5 linked regions of the Callithrix jacchus genome follow. The protein of the gene in region 2 purifies or fractionates together with the protein of the main gene of each other region. This does not show direct contact. Links are inferred from orthologs where the notes say so. Each region holds a gene or a part of one and is shown on either strand. Other genes may lie near its edges.

The links.
Region 1: the proteins of TMEM192 (region 2) and LAMP1 purify together in Homo sapiens (affinity purification with mass spectrometry; 3 studies listed by BioGRID and IntAct, with this or other methods). This does not show direct contact. The link is inferred for Callithrix jacchus from reciprocal best matches to the Homo sapiens genes TMEM192 and LAMP1.
Region 3: the proteins of TMEM192 (region 2) and LAMP2 purify together in Homo sapiens (affinity purification with western blotting; 5 studies listed by BioGRID and IntAct, with this or other methods). This does not show direct contact. The link is inferred for Callithrix jacchus from reciprocal best matches to the Homo sapiens genes TMEM192 and LAMP2.
Region 4: the proteins of TMEM192 (region 2) and ACP2 purify together in Homo sapiens (affinity purification with mass spectrometry; 3 studies listed by BioGRID and IntAct, with this or other methods). This does not show direct contact. The link is inferred for Callithrix jacchus from reciprocal best matches to the Homo sapiens genes TMEM192 and ACP2.
Region 5: the proteins of TMEM192 (region 2) and CTSD purify together in Homo sapiens (affinity purification with western blotting; 3 studies listed by BioGRID, with this or other methods). This does not show direct contact. The link is inferred for Callithrix jacchus from reciprocal best matches to the Homo sapiens genes TMEM192 and CTSD.

What each region holds. Positions count from the first base shown.
Region 1 is NC_133502.1:28,771,968-28,775,480, reverse strand, and holds the end of LAMP1 (lysosome-associated membrane glycoprotein 1), read right to left. Parts: intron 3,177-3,513; coding exon 3,051-3,176; intron 2,309-3,050; coding exon 2,242-2,308; intron 2,163-2,241; coding exon 1,992-2,162; intron 1,434-1,991; coding exon 1,294-1,433; 3' UTR 515-1,293; downstream 1-514. UniProt on the Homo sapiens protein: Lysosomal membrane glycoprotein which plays an important role in lysosome biogenesis, lysosomal pH regulation, autophagy and cholesterol homeostasis.
Region 2 is NC_133504.1:29,996,539-30,000,489, forward strand, and holds the start of TMEM192 (transmembrane protein 192), read left to right. Parts: upstream 1-1,137; 5' UTR 1,138-1,251; coding exon 1,252-1,278; intron 1,279-1,636; exon of another isoform or gene 1,637-1,747; coding exon 1,748-1,879; intron 1,880-3,951.
Region 3 is NC_133524.1:116,348,473-116,352,576, forward strand, and holds the start of LAMP2 (lysosome-associated membrane glycoprotein 2), read right to left. Parts: upstream 2,813-4,104; 5' UTR 2,690-2,812; coding exon 2,626-2,689; intron 1-2,625. UniProt on the Homo sapiens protein: Lysosomal membrane glycoprotein which plays an important role in lysosome biogenesis, lysosomal pH regulation and autophagy.
Region 4 is NC_133511.1:112,302,538-112,306,051, reverse strand, and holds part of ACP2 (lysosomal acid phosphatase), read left to right. Parts: coding exon 1-149; intron 150-245; coding exon 246-344; intron 345-422; coding exon 423-512; intron 513-955; coding exon 956-1,088; intron 1,089-3,011; coding exon 3,012-3,094; intron 3,095-3,205; coding exon 3,206-3,312; intron 3,313-3,430; coding exon 3,431-3,514.
Region 5 is NC_133511.1:130,135,063-130,138,576, reverse strand, and holds part of CTSD (cathepsin D), read right to left. Parts: intron 1,661-3,514; coding exon 1,538-1,660; intron 756-1,537; coding exon 611-755; intron 532-610; coding exon 433-531; intron 9-432; coding exon 1-8. UniProt on the Homo sapiens protein: Acid protease active in intracellular protein breakdown. Plays a role in APP processing following cleavage and activation by ADAM30 which leads to APP degradation.

The sequences.
Region 1 (3,513 bases), on a different chromosome or scaffold from region 2:
GGAGGGTGTTCCCCAAGAGAGAACACAGCAACATGGCCACGTTGTTCAAAATGAAAGACGGATCCTGAGACATCTTAACTACCGTCCGTAAGAATGGCTACGTCAGCTCCCAACGCCAGGCTATGCCTCACCCCCGTTTCCCCGACGTCCTCTCCCTACACCGAGACCGGCCTTGCCCCCATTTCCCTGACGTCCTCTCCCTGCACCAAGACCGGCCTCGCCCCCATTTCCCCTACGTCCTCTCCCTGCACCGAGACCGGCCTCACCCCCATTTCCCCTACGTCCTCTCACTGCACCGAGACCGGCCTCGCCCCCGTTTCCCCGACGCCCTCTCACTGCACCAAGACCGGCCTCGCCCCCATTTCCCTGAAGTCCTCTCCCTGCACCGAGACCGGCCTCACCCCCATTTCCCCGACGTCCTCTCACTGCACCGAGACAGGCCTCACCCCCGTTTCCCTGACATCCTTCTCTCATGAGCTCCCATTTTAGCTGACAAAAGGACAAGGCCCAGACAAAAAAGAAAGAGGCTTTTTATTACATTGTTACAGGCAATGCGTTACGTGAGCCAATGCTGTGTACAACCCCCAAGCCGCGGCGACACACCAGGAGCGCATCTAACATTGTACACAGCGCAGAACAGGATCACCCCGAATGTCAACAGAAGACCGAAATCACTTTACAAAAAACATAAAAATAACACCCATTTTTATAGTTAAAAAAGTGCCAGCCCTTGAGCCGCAGAGCATCAGAAACGCCCAAGGATGTGCCGCCGAGTGCCGCCCGTAGAATGGGGACAGGGCGCCAGCCGCGTGTGGCCTTTAAAGCTGAACTGGAGCACTTGAGACGCTCATCTCTGGAGTCTGTCTCAGGACTTTCCCTCTCTACTGTTGAAACTGTGAGTGACCTTCATGCGTCCCACCCGTGACGGCCGGAGGCTTTCCCTTTGTAAGGCTTCAATCTGAGTGCAGTAAAGAACCAAGAAACCAAACACCAGAATCTTAAAGTCAAACGAGAGCTGAGCCAGTGCCAATTTAGAGCAGCGCTCCCACCCTTCCTTAGAGTTCTACTTTGGTAAATATTAATGTTTAACCAGTTAGCAAAATATTTAACCCAGTTAGCAAAATTAACACCGTCATTTCAATAGTTACTCTGTTGTGCATAGTGAATGCTGCAAGATGAACTTCACGTTGAATGAAGCAGATTTGAGAAACGTTGCCAGAAAGTGTGCCTCCCTCAACAGGACCCTATGCCAGGGAAAGGACTGAGGCCCGCAGCCGCTGTGCCTGCACCGGGCTAGATCGTCTGGTAGCCGGCGTGACTCCTCTTCCTTCCAACGAGGTAGGCGATGAGGACGATGAGGACCAGCCCCGCCAAGGCGCCGCCCACAGCGATGGGGATCAGCATGTTGTTCTCGTCCAGCAGACACTCCTCCACTGCCAAGACACACGGACAGTGTCAGCTTCCACTCACACAGGGGCCTGCTAACAGGCCTCTCTCCCCGCCACTCCCCCACGTCAGCCACAAGCCAAGAGGAACTCTGGCAGACGGCTCCAGGTCCGGCTGTCGCTTGGGGGAGCCGCTGCAGAGACTGGCGCGCTCTGCACAGCTGGGAAACCACACATGTTTTCCCCCGGCTGGAATCAGGGGCTGTGGCTGGGCAGCTGTGCTGTGTCCAGAGCCTCCGGGCTTCCTGGAACACAGAGCACATCGGATGATGGTTTTGCATTCAACTTTCATGGGAGAAACGCCACCACTGTTCTTAAAATGACACCCTTACTCTCAAATGGTACCAGGGGTTCCCAGCTCAGAGATACGCTGGGCCTCTCTAAAGCAGGGGGAGTTTCCTCTAGAATCTCAGACCGGGAAGAAGAAACGGCTTGCATAGGAACAAGGGTGTTGCCCCAGGCCACACAGAAGCGATTAAATATCCACAGGTGGAGTCTGAAGTGCGTCCTCTACACCCCGGGACAGCTGCCCTCGGCGACACTCACCAGAGCCAAACTGGTCACCGTCCACCTTGAAAGCCTGGACCCAGACTTTGAATATGTTGACGGAAAGCGCCTTGGTGACGCGGACGCGCTCCTCGGCGTTGCACCTGTAGGAGTTGCCAACGGTGGCCTGCAGCGCTCTCAGGGAGTTGTTGGAGGCTTTAAATGTGGGGTCTGCAACACACACACAAGTCAAGTAACTCCGGGGCACTCTGGGTGGGGAGCAGGGGCTCCAGAGATTGTGGGTTCTCACCTCTGGCGTCAGGAAGAGTTGTATTCAACTGGATTCCTTGTAGGAAAAAACGGCTAGAACTTGCATTCTTAAAAAGAAAGATGATCTTTAACCACTGAGTAGACTCGAACATCTATCATTAAACTTGAAAGGTCATTTGGTAAAAAATTTGACTTCCCATGTTTCTAGTTTTTGAACAAAACTACAGAATATCCTGTCTATAAAAGGCCAGTGAATTCCAGTTAGTTCCTTCCACGCCCTTTTCTGAGAGTCTTGCTCTGTCGCCCAGGCTGGAGTACAACGGTGTGATCATGGCTCACTGCAACCTCAACTCCTGGGCTCAAGCGATCGTTTTATCACTTGTGGAGACAGAGCCTCCCTGTGCGGCCAGGCTGGTCCTTCCAGACCTCTTCATAGAGTTAGAGTCTCTGAGAAGCGGGGCCTGCAGGAGCTCTTACGGCACAGGAAAGCATGATTTGGAAAGTTCAAATGGTAGGAAACTGAACTGCTAATTCATCTGCACAGCGACTTAAAAAGATTGACAAGTGACATTTATATTCTTCCTAACTGTGTTGCTCACTGCACAGGAGTGCTCCAGGCAGAAAGGCCACCCCGTGGCTGTAGGGCAGCAGCGTCTGAGGCCAGAAGGCCTCGTGGCCTCACAGCAGCAGCCTTACCCCTGCAGCCACCCCACTGTGGGCACGGCAGCCCCGCCCAAATCGATTACTGAGTAACCAGGATTTTAAAAAGGCAGGAAAAAGTGAGGCTGCCTTGTTCCTAATTCTGCTACCCATGAGCAGACCCAGGGCACAAGGGACACCCGGCCTCACCATCCCAAACTGGAACAGCAGGACCGTGCCACCCTCATCGCGCAGCTCCAGGGTCACCAGGTGGGTGCCACAGCTCCCGGTGGCCAAGGTCTTGTTGGGGTTGATGTTGAGAAGTTTTGTCACCGTCTGTAAGACAACCAAGCAAGTCATCACCCCAGCCAGGTCCTCCAGATGCTCAAAAAAAGAAAAACAGTCCTGAAACCATGAATTCAAGGCCACATTTGTTTTAACCAAAACGAGAAGGAAGCACTGTAAGTCCACACTGGTACAGATTTCAGGATCCCAAGATGACTCCTGGCCACTGTGACAGCTGCTTTCAGAGTGTGGCGTCCCTGCGTGGATGGCACCAACCAGCACCACCTCCCCCTGCAGCCGTCAACCCTGCAAACTCGCCCCCACAAACCCATAGCCTGTCACTATTAGGGGAGAAAAACTATTTCAAAAGAAAAGTATAAATATGTAA
Region 2 (3,951 bases):
AAAATGTTAAGCAAGCTCTTTAGCCTATCTTTTCCCTTTAGACTTTATTTTGAAAAATATCAAGCCGGAGGAAAAAAAAAATTGCTGGTCGGGAGTGGTGGCTCATGCCGGTAATCCCTGTACTTTGGGAGGCCGATCTGAGCTCACTGCAACCTCCACCTCCTGGGTTCAACCGATTCTTCTGCCTCAGCCTCCCCAGTAGCTAGGACTACAGGCACGTGCCACCATGACCAGCAAATTTTTTTGTATTTTTAGTAGAGACGGGGTTTCACTGTGTTGGCCAGGCTGGTCTTGAAGTCCTGACCTCGTGATCGACCCGCCTCGGCCTCCCAAAGTGCTGGGATTGCAGGAGTGAGCCACCATGCTCGGCTGAAAGTGCATCTATTCTAACTGATACCAAGGTTCTCTTTGCGAGCCGGTAACAACAGAAAATTTCTTTCTTTCTTTGCTTACATTTTTATAATCATGTATTTTTTGGAAAACTTAATTGAAGTTTTTTTCTTTTTAAAACTCCATTTAAAAAGAAACGATGGCGCAGTGGCTCACGCCTGTAATCCCAGTACTTTGAGAAGCTGAGGTGGGAGAACTGGCCAGGAGGCCAGGAGTTCGAGGCTACTGTGAGCCCTGGTATTGCCAGGGCACTCCAGGGTGGGCAGCAGAGCGAGACTCTTATCTTAATAAACAAATAAACAAACGCCGTAAACATTCCGAACTGCTTTGTTTTCCCATTGGTGAAATCTGTAAACATGTGACGGAAACTGGAATCTTTATTTTGCTCCTGTCCCTCTGCTGGTGGAGTAGGATTTTACCGCTGGTTCTACCTAGGCGTAGAGCTGTCTCTGCAAACAAAAATTAGGCAAGACCGAAAAAAGTTAATGTTCTTAAAAGATGTAAGTGGAGCCCGAAAATAGTTAAATTCTTGGGCTAGGAAGGCATCCTTTAATGCCCAAGTCTCCGGGTTAGAGAGGACCGAGCAGACGCGGCCAGAATCTCCAGGACCAGAGGTGGTGCAGGGGGTAGCCGCCGCCCACAGCCCAGGTCCTCTGGGCCGGCACGCCCCTCCCACCACCTCAGCTAATCCGGGCTGAGGGGGCGGGGATCGGGACAGCCGAAGGCGGGGCAGACGCAGGAGGGGGTGTGTCTAGGGCGGGGTCTGGCAGGTCCCTGAAGGTGGCTACTTTCGCTTCCAGCAGCGTCCCAGCCCAGGTGGAGAGTCGGGGCTGGCGGGGGTTCGACCTTTGGCGTCAGGAAATGGCGGCGGGGGGCAGGATGGAAGACGTGAGTGCACGGAGGCTGCGCGCGGCTGCCGGTCCCGGAATCCTCTTTTTCCTGTGTTGAGGCGCACTGGGCGGAGGCTGAGGGATGGAAACCTCCTTTAGCAAGTGCGGCCACAGCCGTAGGGGGCGCCGCCTTTGCCGGGGAGGCCTGGGCGCTGGGCTGTGGGAGGGCGCCGGGCGGCCGTGGAATCTGCGACACGCCGGGTCCGGGCTAATTTTCCTCGTGGAGACTAGGGCGGGCTTCTGGGCGGTGGGCGCGCGGCTCCAAAGGTTCCTGGCTGCTGCCCAGCCCACGTGCATGGCGCGTCTTTGGTCCCGGAACTGGCAGCTTCACGTGATGCGCGCCTGGCCTGACAGCCCTTCCTCCCCGCGAGTCTCCGGGCGCCGGGCCGCTGGGTTCCGCTCGGACCCCCCAGGGGCGCAGCGGGGCGAATCTCCCTTCCTGGTGGGGTCCCTTGCCTTGGCTGTAGAGGCTATGGACCTGGAGTGACAGCGACGCTCGGGCCGGGTGCCAGCGTACTGCGGACAGACCTGTCGCTATCATCGCCTGGAAACCCACACCAGAGAAAAACAGTGTCATGTGCTGTTTTGAATCTAGCATGGTAGGAATGTAAAGGTTTTTAAATCGTTGATAGATTCAAACCAGATTACGAAAAAAACACCAGTTGGCCCAGTTTACAGCGTGTGTAATACAGAATGATAGCATAATTACAAAAATCTTATTTCTTTGCTTAAGTATCATAAGACGTTTTTAGAGGAAACGTATATATGTCCAGAATTAACTGGATTTTCTATTGGAAAGTAATTTTTGCTTTTGAGAAATGCAAAGTTGACGGTTAAAGTACTAATTTGGGTTAATAAATTAGTAGGAATATTACTGTGATCCTACTGAATGAAGTACATTAAGAAAAGAAAGAAACATGAAACAGTCCCAGCGCTATGGTAGCTTAGATTCTTGAGCAGTGACCATAGTTAAATAATCTTGATGAAATAAAAACCAAACATTTCTAATGAGACTAAAATTTTCTATTTTTTCGAGTTGAGAAAATGGAAAATTAACTATAAGACCTGTAAGTAGACTTAAGACTCATATATATATTTAAAGCAAAATCTATTGTTTCTGAGTTTTTAAGGGTGAGCTTCATGAGCTGACAGTATATGGAAAAAAATGAATATGTAAGAAGAAAATGAGAGACTTAGAAAAACCACGTAGTAAGTGCTTCTTGGTTGATACTGAGCTGCTCTAGGGTTCTTGGATCTGTAGCTTTTAGCTTTAGGATGCATACAGTATTAGAAATCTGCTTCATCAAACACGGAAGAACGAAGCAGTCTGGGAGGCCCATGCCTGTAATCCCAGCACTTTGGAAGGCAGAGGCAGGCAGATCACCTAAAGTCAGGAGTTTGAGACCAGCTTGGCCAGCATGGTAAAAACTCTGTCTCTACTAAAAATACAAAAATTAGCCAGGCATGGTGGTGGGGGCCTCTAATCCCATCTACTCAGGAGGCTGAGGCAGAAGAATCGCTTGACCCCAGAAGGCTGAGGTTGCAGTGAGCCAAGATCACGCCACTGCCCTCCAGCCTGGATGACAGAGTGAGACTCCATCTCAAAAATAAAAAATAAAAAGAAATAAAAAATAATTAGAGATTAATGTTTTAACACCAACCACATATTGAAGTCACTTTAGATCTGACTAAGTCTCCTGCTTTTGGTATTTTGTAGACATGATTTCTAGTCTTCAGTAAAAAGCTAAAAATTGTGGACCATGCTTTGGGTGCAGACACTTAAATGAGTTGAATCAAAGACTTTGCGATAGTATGGATTCATTGTTTAGTAGGTACTTCAATTCCCAGCCAACATGGAGTAACCGGGAATAGATGTACCATTGTGCCTGAAACAACCAAAAAACTAGATATAACATAAGATACAACACTTTGTGAGATATTGGATGTCAGACAACAAAGGGTAGCAATCTCAGAAATGGGAAACAAATGCTGTGAACCCCATCACTGCCCTGGCTTACTGCCTTGAAAGAGTGCAGGCTGTGACAAGGCACGGGGAAACCAGGCAGAGCCCAGCAGATTTCTGAGTTGGTGAGATGGAGTTGAGGATCTAGGAGACGGAGGCAACTAGAGTTCCCAAGACAGCACCCAGAGAGGAGAGAGCTACAAAGAGGGAGAACTCTGAAGATCTGCATGGGGATCCCCCAGGCATCCAGTAGAGTGCTAATCGGGGCATGAGGAAGCTTTTGGAGGCCTCAAAAAGAACCACCTTAAAGGATTAGAAGGAACAGTTTCTCCATACAGGGCCAAGAATACTGCCTATTTCACCTACCAGCCAGACAAAACCCCCATAATTCACAGAACATGCGGGTGGAGTACTCAGAAAGGTCTTGTCTCAGTAGTGGAGTAGAATTAGCCCTAGATGAAGTCCACCTAATTTCTTAACGGCAAGACCAAAAAAATCAGACTGTTTCTACGTGACTTTGCTGTACTGCAGAACAAAGTTCAAGAATATAGGAATACAGAAAATGTCCAGCACCCACAGAGGTAAAATTGGAAATATCTGGCATTCAATAAAAAATTACAAGGCATGTAAAGAGGCAGGAAAATATGAGCTGTACTGAGTCCTTTGAAACTGATTCAGACATGAAATATGCTAGAAATAGCATATGGA
Region 3 (4,104 bases), on a different chromosome or scaffold from region 2:
GATAAGGTACTTTCCATTGTAAACAATCCTTTCTTAGGGTCAGTCTGCCCTCAGTAAGTGCTCCAAGATACAGTTAAGGCTTAGAATTAAGTATTCAAGCAAAGCCTCATGGCCCCCTTTCAGAAGTGGTACAGAAGACTTTCCTGCACCATGTGAACCGTTGGAGTACATCAGGGATTCCCAAATATTTTGGTGTCAGGACCCTCTTACTTTCTTATCCACTGAGGACCTCATGGAGGTTTAAGTGAGTCATATGTATTGGTATTACAGTATTAGAAATTAAAACTGAGAAATGAATAAAATGCAAGAACGTCAGAGTGGTGAGGACATCACAGGTTGTGTAGCTTCTGGAAAACTGCTGTACACTGGTGAGAGGATAAGAGTGAAAAGGACAAATACCGTCTTTTTTTTTCCTTTTTGAGACGGACTTTCACTCTTGTTACCCAAGCTGGAGTGCAGTGGTGTGATCTAGGCTCACTGCAACCTCTGCCTCCCGGGTTCAAGAGATTCTCCTGCCTCAGCCTCCCAAGTAGCTGGGATTACAGGTATGTGCCACCACACCCATATAATTTTTGTATATTTAGTACAGACTGGGTGTCACCATGTTGGTCAGGCTAGTCTTGAACTCCTGACCTCAGGTGATCTGCCAGCCTTGGCCTCCCAAAGTGCTGGTATTACAGGCGTGAGCCACTGTACCCAGCCAAAAAGGACAAATACCTTCTTAACATTATTCTGAAGTTTTGATTTCACAGACCTATAAAAAGTCCTTGCGAGTCAGTGACTTAGATAATCAGGAACTCTTTCAATACCATGGTTTTTGAGCAGGGCTTCTCAACCTTGGCACCACTGACATTTTCAGGAAGATAATTCTTTGTTGTGAGGGCCTGCCCTGTGCTTGGTTAGGATGTTTAGCAGCATCCTTGGCCTCTACCCACTAGATGCTAAAGGCAATCCCCCAGTTGTGACAACCAAAAATGTTTCCAGATACTGCCAAATGTCCCCTGGTTGAGAATCACTATTCCAGGGTGTTGATTTTATTCTACTGAAATGTGAATTACAAAATGTATATCTCTCACTGCTTTCTCAGACCCTTAATAGGTCTATTTCCTCCCCACTCTCATCTGGGTCTGCTCCTTATGTTATTTAATTAGGTCAGAAATAGCAAGAGCAGGTGGGTAGCAACAAGCACAGCATGAATCAGGTCAGGAAGAGACACTCTGGTCAAAGTTCAGCTTTAGGCAATGAAAGCTGTTAGGGATCCATTATCTATTAAGGTACAACACAATCAGCAAACAGTCATCCAGCCATTCTTTTATTATTATTATTATTATTTTGAGAGAGAGTTTCACTCTTGTCACCCAGGCCGGAGTGTAATGGCACGATCTCGGCTCGCTGTAACCTCTGTTTCCTGGGTTCAAGCCATTCTCCTGCCTCAGCCTCCCAAGTAGCTGGGATTACAGGCACCCACCACCACACTCAGCTATTTTGTATTTTTAGTAGAGAAAAATATTTTGTATTTTTCTCGAACTCCTGACCTCAGGTGATCCATCAACCTCAGCCTCCCAAAGTGCTGGGATTACAGGTTCGAGCCACTGCAATGAGTCCCATCCAGCCATTCTTAGGCCCTGGTAACAACTCAATCCTTAGCAATTTTTCTAACTGCTCCCTGTACCCCCCAAAAATGAGGTAATAGGCTAGTTGTGTGATGATGAAAAAAACAAGAGACTCTGAAGGCAAAGAGGTAGTCTACCAAACTCAGATACTCCACCCGCAAAACCTCACATGTGGGAGGCCCTCCCAACTGAAACGTCTGGGGATTTTTTTGTCAGTGCCTGGCTGGGAGGAAGTAGCAAAACTGGGAGAAAATCGACATCCTCAATACCTCCAAGTAGATATGCACTCCCCATCAAAGTTCCCACTGAACCCCTTAGTCCCCAGAGGTTGAGTCCAAATTTTCTTTCCTGGAAATCTCCCCAGATACCTTAGGTTCCTTCCCCCTCAACAACTGTGACTGCCAAACTCAAACCCAGTATCACTCCTCATCTCTTGATCACCCTTTCTTCACAGCCTCAAATTCCTACCTACAAAATGCCCAACCCTGTCCCTGCCCCTGCCCCTCAGGCTCTAGTGTCCTATCTGCCCCAACCCACATTCTTCCACCAAGCTACTCCTGGCAGGCATGGTCTCCCCTCTTAATTTCCTATCTCACCCCATAGTTTTTCCACCATCTTCAAAACTCTTCCGTGGTCTCAACAAACCAGGACTCTCCTAATTGTCTCTGGCACCCAAAATCTGCATGTACCACCCTCCTACGCTCACTCCTCAGTGTTTTCCCCAAGTTACTCTTTCCACCCCGACCCTCTCCACGCGTCACTCCTCCCAGCCTACTCCCTCGGCGTCCACCCCCGTTACCGGCCCCTTCTTACTCTCCTGGGCCCTTCTTCCCCGCCATCCCTCGGTCAGGCCTTCTCTAGGTCATTCCTCGCCTGCCCGGGCCAACCGCCGCCGCCAAGTGTCTGCTGCTGAGCCTCTCAACCCCCTCACCCTCGGACCAGTCTTTCAGGTTGTAGAACTGGCGCCCCAGGCCCAAGCGCACAGACTAATCGGAAGGGCCCGACAACTCACCCAGGACTAGGCAGACCAGAACAAGCCCTGAGCCAGGAACCGGGAAGAGGCGGAAGCACAACATGATTCCGCAGAGCAAGCGGCGGCGGAGGTACAACAAGGGCTGCAACACCAGGGAAAAGGCTCGCTAGACCTGGGTCAAGAGCACGGGTGACCACCGACCACAGCGTTGCAAAAACCAGTAATCGGCGCTTCAGCGGGAGTCATAAGACTAGGGGCGGGGCTCTTTCTTGCTTACAGCCAATCTCCGCGCTTGAAAGCGGCGAGAGGGGTGGTGATGTAGAGGCAGGTGGGCGGGGATACCACGCCCTGGCTTTTTGGTTCACAACACTTCCTATGCTCCTAAGAGATATGCGCGGACGGCATTTTCTTTTTTTTTTTTTTTTCTTTCTTTCATTGTTATAAATTTTACTTTAAGTTCCGGGATATATGTGCAGAATGTGCCTGTCTGTTACATAGGTATATATGTGCCATGGTGGTTTGCTGCACCTATCAACCCATCATCTAGGTTTTAAGCCCCACATGCATTAGATATTTGTCTTAATGCTCTCCCTCCTCATGGCCCCTACCACCTGACAGGCCCCAGTGTGTGTTGTTCCTCTCCCTGTGTCCATGCGTTCTCATTGTTCAACTCCCACCTATGAGTGAGAACATTCAGTGTTTGGTTTTCTGTGACGGTGTTAGTTTGCTGAGGATAATGGCTTCCAGTTTCATCCGTGTCCCTGCAAAGGACATGATCTCATTCCTTTTTATGGCTGCATAGTATTCCATGGTGTATATGTGCCATGTTTCTTTATCCAGTCTATCATTGATAAGCATTTGGGTTGGTTCTAAGTCTTTGCTATTCTTAATACTGCTGCAATAAACATACATGTGCATGCGTCAAATGGTATTTTTGGTTCTAGACCCTTGAGGAATCGCTACACTGTCTTCCACAATGATTGAACTGATTTACACTCCCTCCAACAGTATTAAAGCATTCCTATTTCTCCACAGCCTCCCCAGCATCTATTGTTTCCTGACTTTTTTATAATCGCTATTCTGACTGGCGTGAGATGGTATCTCATTGCGGTTTTGATTTGTATTTCTCTAGTGTCCAGTGACGATGAGCTTTTTTTCATTTTTGTTGGCATAATGTCTTCTTTTGAGAAGTGTCTGTTCATATCCTTTGCCCACTTTTTGATGTTTTTTTTCTTCAAAATTTAAGTTCCTTGTAGATTCTGGATATTAGACCTTTGTCAGATGGGTAGATTACAAAAATTTTCTCCCATTCTGCAAGTTGCCTGTTCACTCTGATGGTGGTTTCTTTTGCTGTGTGGAAGCTGTTTTAATTAGATCCTGTTTGTCGATTTTGACTTTTGTTGCAATTGCTTTTGGTGTTTTAGTTATGAAGTCTTTGCCCATGCCCATGGCAGATGGCATTTTGTAAGGCTAAGGAGAGAGGAGGAACTTTTGAGGGCTGTAGATAGTAGACTATTT
Region 4 (3,514 bases), on a different chromosome or scaffold from region 2:
ACGTGCGAAGCACAGACTTTGATCGGACTCTCATGAGTGCTGAGGCCAACCTGGCTGGACTCTTCCCTCCCAACGGGATGCAGCGCTTCAACCCAAACATCTCGTGGCAGCCTATCCCCGTGCACACTGTGCCTATTGCTGAGGACAGGGTGAGAGTGGCCAGCGCCCCTGGGCTGGTGGTGAGGTAACAACTCTGGCCGTGGACCTGCTGATGCCAGGCTCCTTTTCCCCACTTCGCTCTACAGCTGCTGAAGTTCCCATTGGGCCCATGTCCCCGTTATGAGCAGCTGCAGAACGAGACCCGGCAGACACCAGAGTATCAGAACGAGAGTTCTCGCAATGCAGTGAGTTGGGGCGGAGGTGGAGGTCACCATGCTGTCCTTTACCCACAGCAGGACTGATCCCCTGTCTGTTTTCCATAGCAATTTCTGGACATGGTGGCCAACGAGACAGGGCTTACAGACCTGACACTGGAGAGCGTCTGGAATGTCTATGACACACTCTTCTGTGAGGTGAGCCCACGAGGGTGACCACTCTGGTCACTCTTCTCCCCCTCAGCAGGCCCAGGTCACCAGGACAGTAGAACATGGTGCCTGTTACCGTCACGCCCCTGTGGAGGTCCAGGGAAGCTGTGCTTGTGAAACCTGGGAACTTCCCTCACTGGTGACAGAGATCCTCAGAGTGGGAAACAGTTTGTTAACTGTCAGCAGTCCCTGCTGCTCTCCACCCAGAGCTCCTTTCTGCTGAGTCTCACATTTCATGCCGGGGCTTCCTTTCCTGTACCCTGCAGCATCCACACCAACTGCCATGTCTACTGGCTCCAGGCTCTCTCCCTCTCTCTTCTCTCCCTCCCTCCCTCATACACACAGGCACCTTCCCACTGGGGAAGAGAGCTGCCCCCTGGAGAGGCTCTGGCCTAGGCCTGGGGCACTAACCTGCCCGCTGCGATACACAGCAAACGCACGGGCTGCACCTGCCGCCCTGGGCCTCACCCCAAACCATGCAGCGTCTGAGCCGGCTAAAGGACTTCAGCTTCCGCTTCCTCTTCGGAATCTACCAGCAGGCGGAGAAGGCCCGGCTTCAGGGGGGTGAGTGACAAGGGCAGCATGTCACTCTGCTCCTCAGGACCCTAAGGTCTGCTGTGGGGGCTTCTCACACACTTCCCCCTCTACTGAAACATTCCCTGCTCTTTCAAAACGAAATCCTCCTCCTCATGCTGTCAGTCACCAGATTTCCCCAGCTCTCCTTCTTTTCTGCCATTCATACTCCTTTTTTTTTGGAGATGGAGTCTTACTCTGTTGCCCAGGTTGGAGTGCAGTAGCAGGATCTCAGGTCATAGTAACCTTGGTTCCCGGGTTCAAGCAATTCTTTTGCCTCAGCCTTCTGAGTAGCTGGGATTACAGGAGTGTGCCACCGTGCTTGGCTAATTTTTTTGTATTTTTAGTAGAGATGGGATTTCACCATGTTGGTCAGGCTGGTCTCGAACTTCTGACCTTGTGATCTACCTGCCTCAGCCTCCCAAAGTGCTGGGATTACAGTTGTAAGCCACCACGCCTGGCTCATAGTCTTTTTAAAAAATATATTTATTCTTTCAGGGGGGATAGAGTTTCCCTCTTGTCACCCAGGCTGGAGTGCAATTGTGCGATCTTGGCTCACTACAACCCTACAACCTTCGACTCCTGGGTTCAAGCCAATTCTCCTGCCCCAGCCTCCCGAGTAGCTGGGATTACAGGTGTGCACCTCCATGCCCAGCTAATTTTTGTATTTTTAGAAGAAAAAGCGTTTCACCATGTTGGCCAGGTTGCTCTTGAACTCCTGACCTCAGGTGATCCACCAAAGTGCTGGGATTATAGCCATGAGCCACTGCACCTGGCCTATTTATTTATTTTGAAACAGAGTCTTACTCTGTTACCCAGGTTGAAGTGCAGTGGCATGATCTCGGCTCACTGCAACCTCTACCTCCTAGGTTCAAGGGATTCTCCTGCCTCAGTCTCCCAAGTAGCTGGGACTATAGGTGCATGCCATCACACCCAGCTAATTTTTGTATTTTTAGCAGAGACAGGGTTTCAATATATTGGTCAGGCTGGTCTCAAACTCCTGACCTCTGGTGATCTGCCCACCTCAGCCTTCCAAAGTGCTAGGATTACACGTATGAGCCACCGCACCCAGCCCTGCCATTCATATTCTTCTCAAGTTTCACCCACATCAGAAGATCCTCCCTCTCCTAAATGAATAGCCAACCCCAGAGAACCATGGGGGGCCATTTTGAGAAGGCTGAGAGTAACACACATGCCAGCTTCCTCATTTTAGCACCCAAAGGTATGCCTGCCTTCAAACCTTTTGACATCTCAGTTTTCAGAGGATATGGCAGTTACCTGATAAGGACTCACCCACTGTGTACTCTGAAGCAATCTTAAGTTTACATTTGTTTCAAACTGAAGTGCTTCTATAAACATGGGCAGGTTTCTGCATCCATGTTGAAATATAGGTAGAGGCTGGGTGCGGTGGCTCATGCCTGTAATCCCAGGACTTTGGGAGGCTGAGGTGGGTAGATCACCTGAGGTCAATAGTTCAAGACCAGCCTGGCCAACATGGTGAAATGCTGTCTCTACTAAAAATTCAAAAATCAGCCGGGTGTGGTGGCATGCCCCAGCTTCTGGGGAGGCTGAGGCAGGAGAATTGGCTTGAACTCGGGAGGCAGAGGTTGCAGTGAGCTGAAATCATGCCACTGTACTCCAGCCTGGGTGAAAGAATGAGACTCTGTCTCAAAACAAAAAATAAAAAAAGAAATATAGGTAGATATCTTGTTTTGTTTTGCGTCCTTCTGTACATTTGACAGTTCTTAGAGATAGGGGCGCCACAGAGTTCCTGCATGGTCCCTATGACACTGAAGAGTTATCCATGTAGGTGATGAGGCCCAGGACTGGCAGGGGCTGAAAGGAGCACAGACATGTCTAATTAGAAGGCAGAGGTGGCTGTAGCCACCAACACCAGGGACTTTTCTCCTTCAGGAGTCCTGCTGGCTCAGATACGGAAGAACTTGACCCTAATGGCGACCACCTCCCAGCTCCCCAAGCTGCTGGTTTACTCTGCGGTAAGCGCCGGTGCTCCCTGTGCTGTGTCAGGCAAGGAGCTGGATTTCTTCTCTGTTCGGTTCCTGGGGGTGCGGGGAACAGTGCTGATGGGGAGCCCCTATCCCTCACAGCACGACACTACCCTGGTCGCCCTGCAAATGGCACTGGACGTCTACAATGGCGAACAAGCCCCCTACGCTTCCTGCCACATATTTGAACTGTACCAGGAAGATTCTGGGTGAGTGAAGCTAGCAGTGTTCTCTGGAAAAGGCCCTCGGGGGGTGGCTCAGCGCAGCCCAAGGACCCCATTATGGGCAGGCTGAGCAGCTCCTAGGTGGCCTCCTGTCAACCCTCAGGAATTTCTCAGTGGAGATGTACTTTCGGAACGAGAGTGAGAGGGCCCCCTGGCCGCTCAGCCTGCCTGGCTGCCCTCACCGCTG
Region 5 (3,514 bases), on a different chromosome or scaffold from region 2:
TGCGACACCTGGGATGGGGCTGGCGGTCAGCACCCAGGCCTGGCACCACCCGCAACCCGCCGTGGGCATCCAGACCATGAGCATCCCCGCCTGTTGCCCACTCACCTGGAGTATGCCCCCCAACTGCCTGCTCACCTGGAGCGCGCACCCCCACCCTGCCCACTCACCTGGGGTGTCTCCCCTCCCCCACCAACCACTCACCTGGGGTGTCTCCCCTCCCTCCACCATCCACTCACCTGGGGTGCCTTCCCCCCTCCTGCCCACTCACCTGGGGTGTGCCTTCCCCCACCCCGCCCACTCACCTGGGGTGTGCCTTCCCCCCTCCGCCCACTCACCTGGGGTGCCTTCCCCCCTCCTGCCCACTCACCTGGGGTATGCCTTCCCCCACCCCGCCTGCTCACCTGGGGCACGAGGCCCCTATGGCCTGCCCACCTTGAGTGTGTAGTCCTGCGGGGACAGCTCGTAGTCTTTGCCTCCCAGCTTCAGCATGATCACGGGCAGGGTGGACACCTTCTCACAGGGGATCATGTACTGAGAGGGACCAAGCAGTGTCAGGGTGGCAGCGGTGGCCGTGGGGCTCCACCCCACCAGCCCCAGCCCCAGTGCTCACCTCGCCCTGGATCAGCGGCATGGCCCCAATGGCCTTCTGCAGCTCCCGCACCTCATCCACAGGGCCCACCATGAGGGACGTGCCCGTGTCCACAATGGCCTCACAGCCCCCCTTGCACAAGGTCAGCCCGCTGGCTACCTCCACCCTGTGGGAAGTCAAGGCGTGAGGCCCATGCCCAATCACAATGTGCACTGGGGGCCCAGTGCCCGTCCCCAGGAGCCCTTCCCTGGCACTCTCCTCTCTAGGCTGCCGATGCACAGGGGGCTGTAGGCCCTCCAGGGTGAGGGGTGGGAGAAGAGACGCAGGGTGGCAGAGAGGGTGGGAGACCCTCAGGTGGTAGTGAGGGGCATGGGGGGCATGGAGAGCATAGAAGAGATGGAGAAGATGGAGGGATGGAGGGATAGAGGGAAGGAGGATGTATAGAGGGATGGATGGAGGGGATGGAGGGATGGATGGGATGGAGGAAGAGATGGAGGGATAGAGGGATGGACAGGATGGAGGGATGGATGGAGGGAATGAAGGGAGAGATGGAGGGATGGATGGAGGGGATGGAGGCATAGAGCGTAGGAGGGATGGAGGGGATAGAAGAGATAGAGACAGGGATGGAGGGGCATGGAGGTCACAGAGAAACAGAGGGATGGAAGAGCACGGAAGGGATGGAGGCGCATGGAGGGAGGGAGGGTCATGTTCCCAGAGGAGGGAAGCCCCAGTGACCAAGCGTCACGGAGTCACAGAGGGATGGAAGGCATGAAGAGTCATGGAGGGGATGGAGGGCATGGAGGCTGGTCCAACCCCATCTCTTTCTTGCTCAGCTCTACCATTCCCCCCACATGCAACCCCACCTGCAGAACCGGGAGTCCTCCAGGGTCCCCAAACGCCACCCCCCACCCACAGAACCCAGGGGAGCTGCCTGCAGCCACTACTCACTGGTCCATGTGGACCTGCCAGTAGGCCTTGCGGGTGACGTTCAGGTAGAACAGGGAACCCTTGTAATACTTGGAGTCTGTGCCACCCAGCATCAGCTCACCCCCAGGCTGTGCATCTGGGTCCCTGAGAGGAAAAGGAAGGGAGCGTCAGCTGCCACTGCAGCCCCCCGGGTGCTGGGTCAGGAGTAAGGGGGTCAATGTGGCAGTCAGAGAGAGCCTCCTGGACTGGAGGGGTCTTCCTGGACCCGCAGGGATGGAAAGGCCCAGAAGGCAGGAGAGATGGACTCCCTTCTTCCTGGGGTTGGCTTTGCTCATACCCTGGTGAGCCCAGCCTGCCCCAGAAGAGGTTTTCCTCAACACTCAGGTTCTCCTGGTCTGCTTCCGGGACGGGAGAAGGTACAGCCCGGAAGCTGGGATGGCTCGTTCTGGCCCCAGAGCCTCTGCCCCGCTGCTCCTGCAACGTCCTCCACCCACAATCCCGAGCCACGTGGGCTCATCTCCCCTCATCCAGACCGTGGATGGTCAGCACGGCGCTCCCGGGAGGGGTGCACCGCACTTCCTGGACCTGCAGCCCGTGTCGCCGGGGTTCGTTTTTAAACACTGATCAAGTTCAAGCCGCCAACGCAGCAAACCCTGCCAGTCCCGTTAGAGAAGGTCTTCCTGTCTGGGGCGTCTGCGGCTAAGCTGGCCACCATCCCGCTGCCCGTCCCCACAGGGCAGCACCAGGCCTGACCCAGTCCTGCCAACAGGCTCAGCACTCCGCCCTCCTCCACCTGTGCTCCCGTCAGCACCTCTGCAATCCCAAGTATAGAAACCCGAGCAGCGCCTCCTATCCAACTCACGTTCCCCGCAGCCAAAACTGCCTTTCCAAGCCCTCAGACCCTCACCCCTGCCTGGCTTCACTTCCTGCCCCAGCCACGGCCTTGGGACCAAACCTGGGCACTCACACCTGCGTGCCCCTCCCGTACCCCATGCCCCTTCCCCATGTGGACACTCAACTCTGTGTCCGTCCCACCTAAGCACTCACACCCGTGTGCCCCCTCCCCACATGGACACTCACCCTGTGTCCCTTCCCCCACTCTCGCACTCATGCGGACATTCATGCCTGAGTGCCCCTCCCCCACCTGGACACTCACACTGTGTGCCCGCTCCCCTGTGCCCCAAGACTCCTGGAGAAATGACCCAGCCGGTTCACCTGTGTCCTGGCCTCTAGTGACCAGCTTTGCCCAGGGTGTTGCTATGGAGTATTCACTGCCCAGGCAAGGGACAGAGCAAAGAGCCAGGCCAGGATGACTGCCGGAATTCTGCTGGAAGTGCACCAAGGTCAGCAGTCAGGCCCAGAGACTCCAAGTGCCAAGTGAGCCACGTGAGGTGAACTGCCCACGTCAGCCCTGGAGAGTGGGGCAGTGGCCAGGCGCAGCTCAGGGTGGGAGGCTGCTGGCTGACAGGCTGCCCACCCTCAAAGCAAAGGTCTCCAACCCCCAGTCACCCCTCCTACAGGGGGGGTGAACCCCCACTCAGGTCAGCCCGAGAAGAGGAAACCAACCAAGGCTGAGGTCCCCTTCCCAAGGTCACCTGACCATGGGTGACAAACGCTGGAGCAGCAGATGCAGGTGGGGGTCCTGGGGACGCTCCCCCTATGCTCCCTGGAGGGCAGCCAGCACCGATGGGGACGCCTAAAGAGCTGCCCGCCGCACGGTGCTGGGGACCCGTGTCCACCCAAGGTCACCTCCCGACAACCCCAGGTCCCTGGACACCATGACCCCTCTACTATCAGCAACCCTGGGACCAGGATCACATGTGCTTATCACCAGGCCCGGGGAGCACCAGGCACTGAACCAAGAGGAACTGCCACGCCCCTGACCTGAGTCTGTTCTCACAGGAGGGAAGCCCCAGCAGCCAAGGTCCGAGGACCCACAGCCTGGCCCAAGCCCCTCCCACTGGGAGACCCTGGCCAAACAGCTTTCTCTGAGATGCT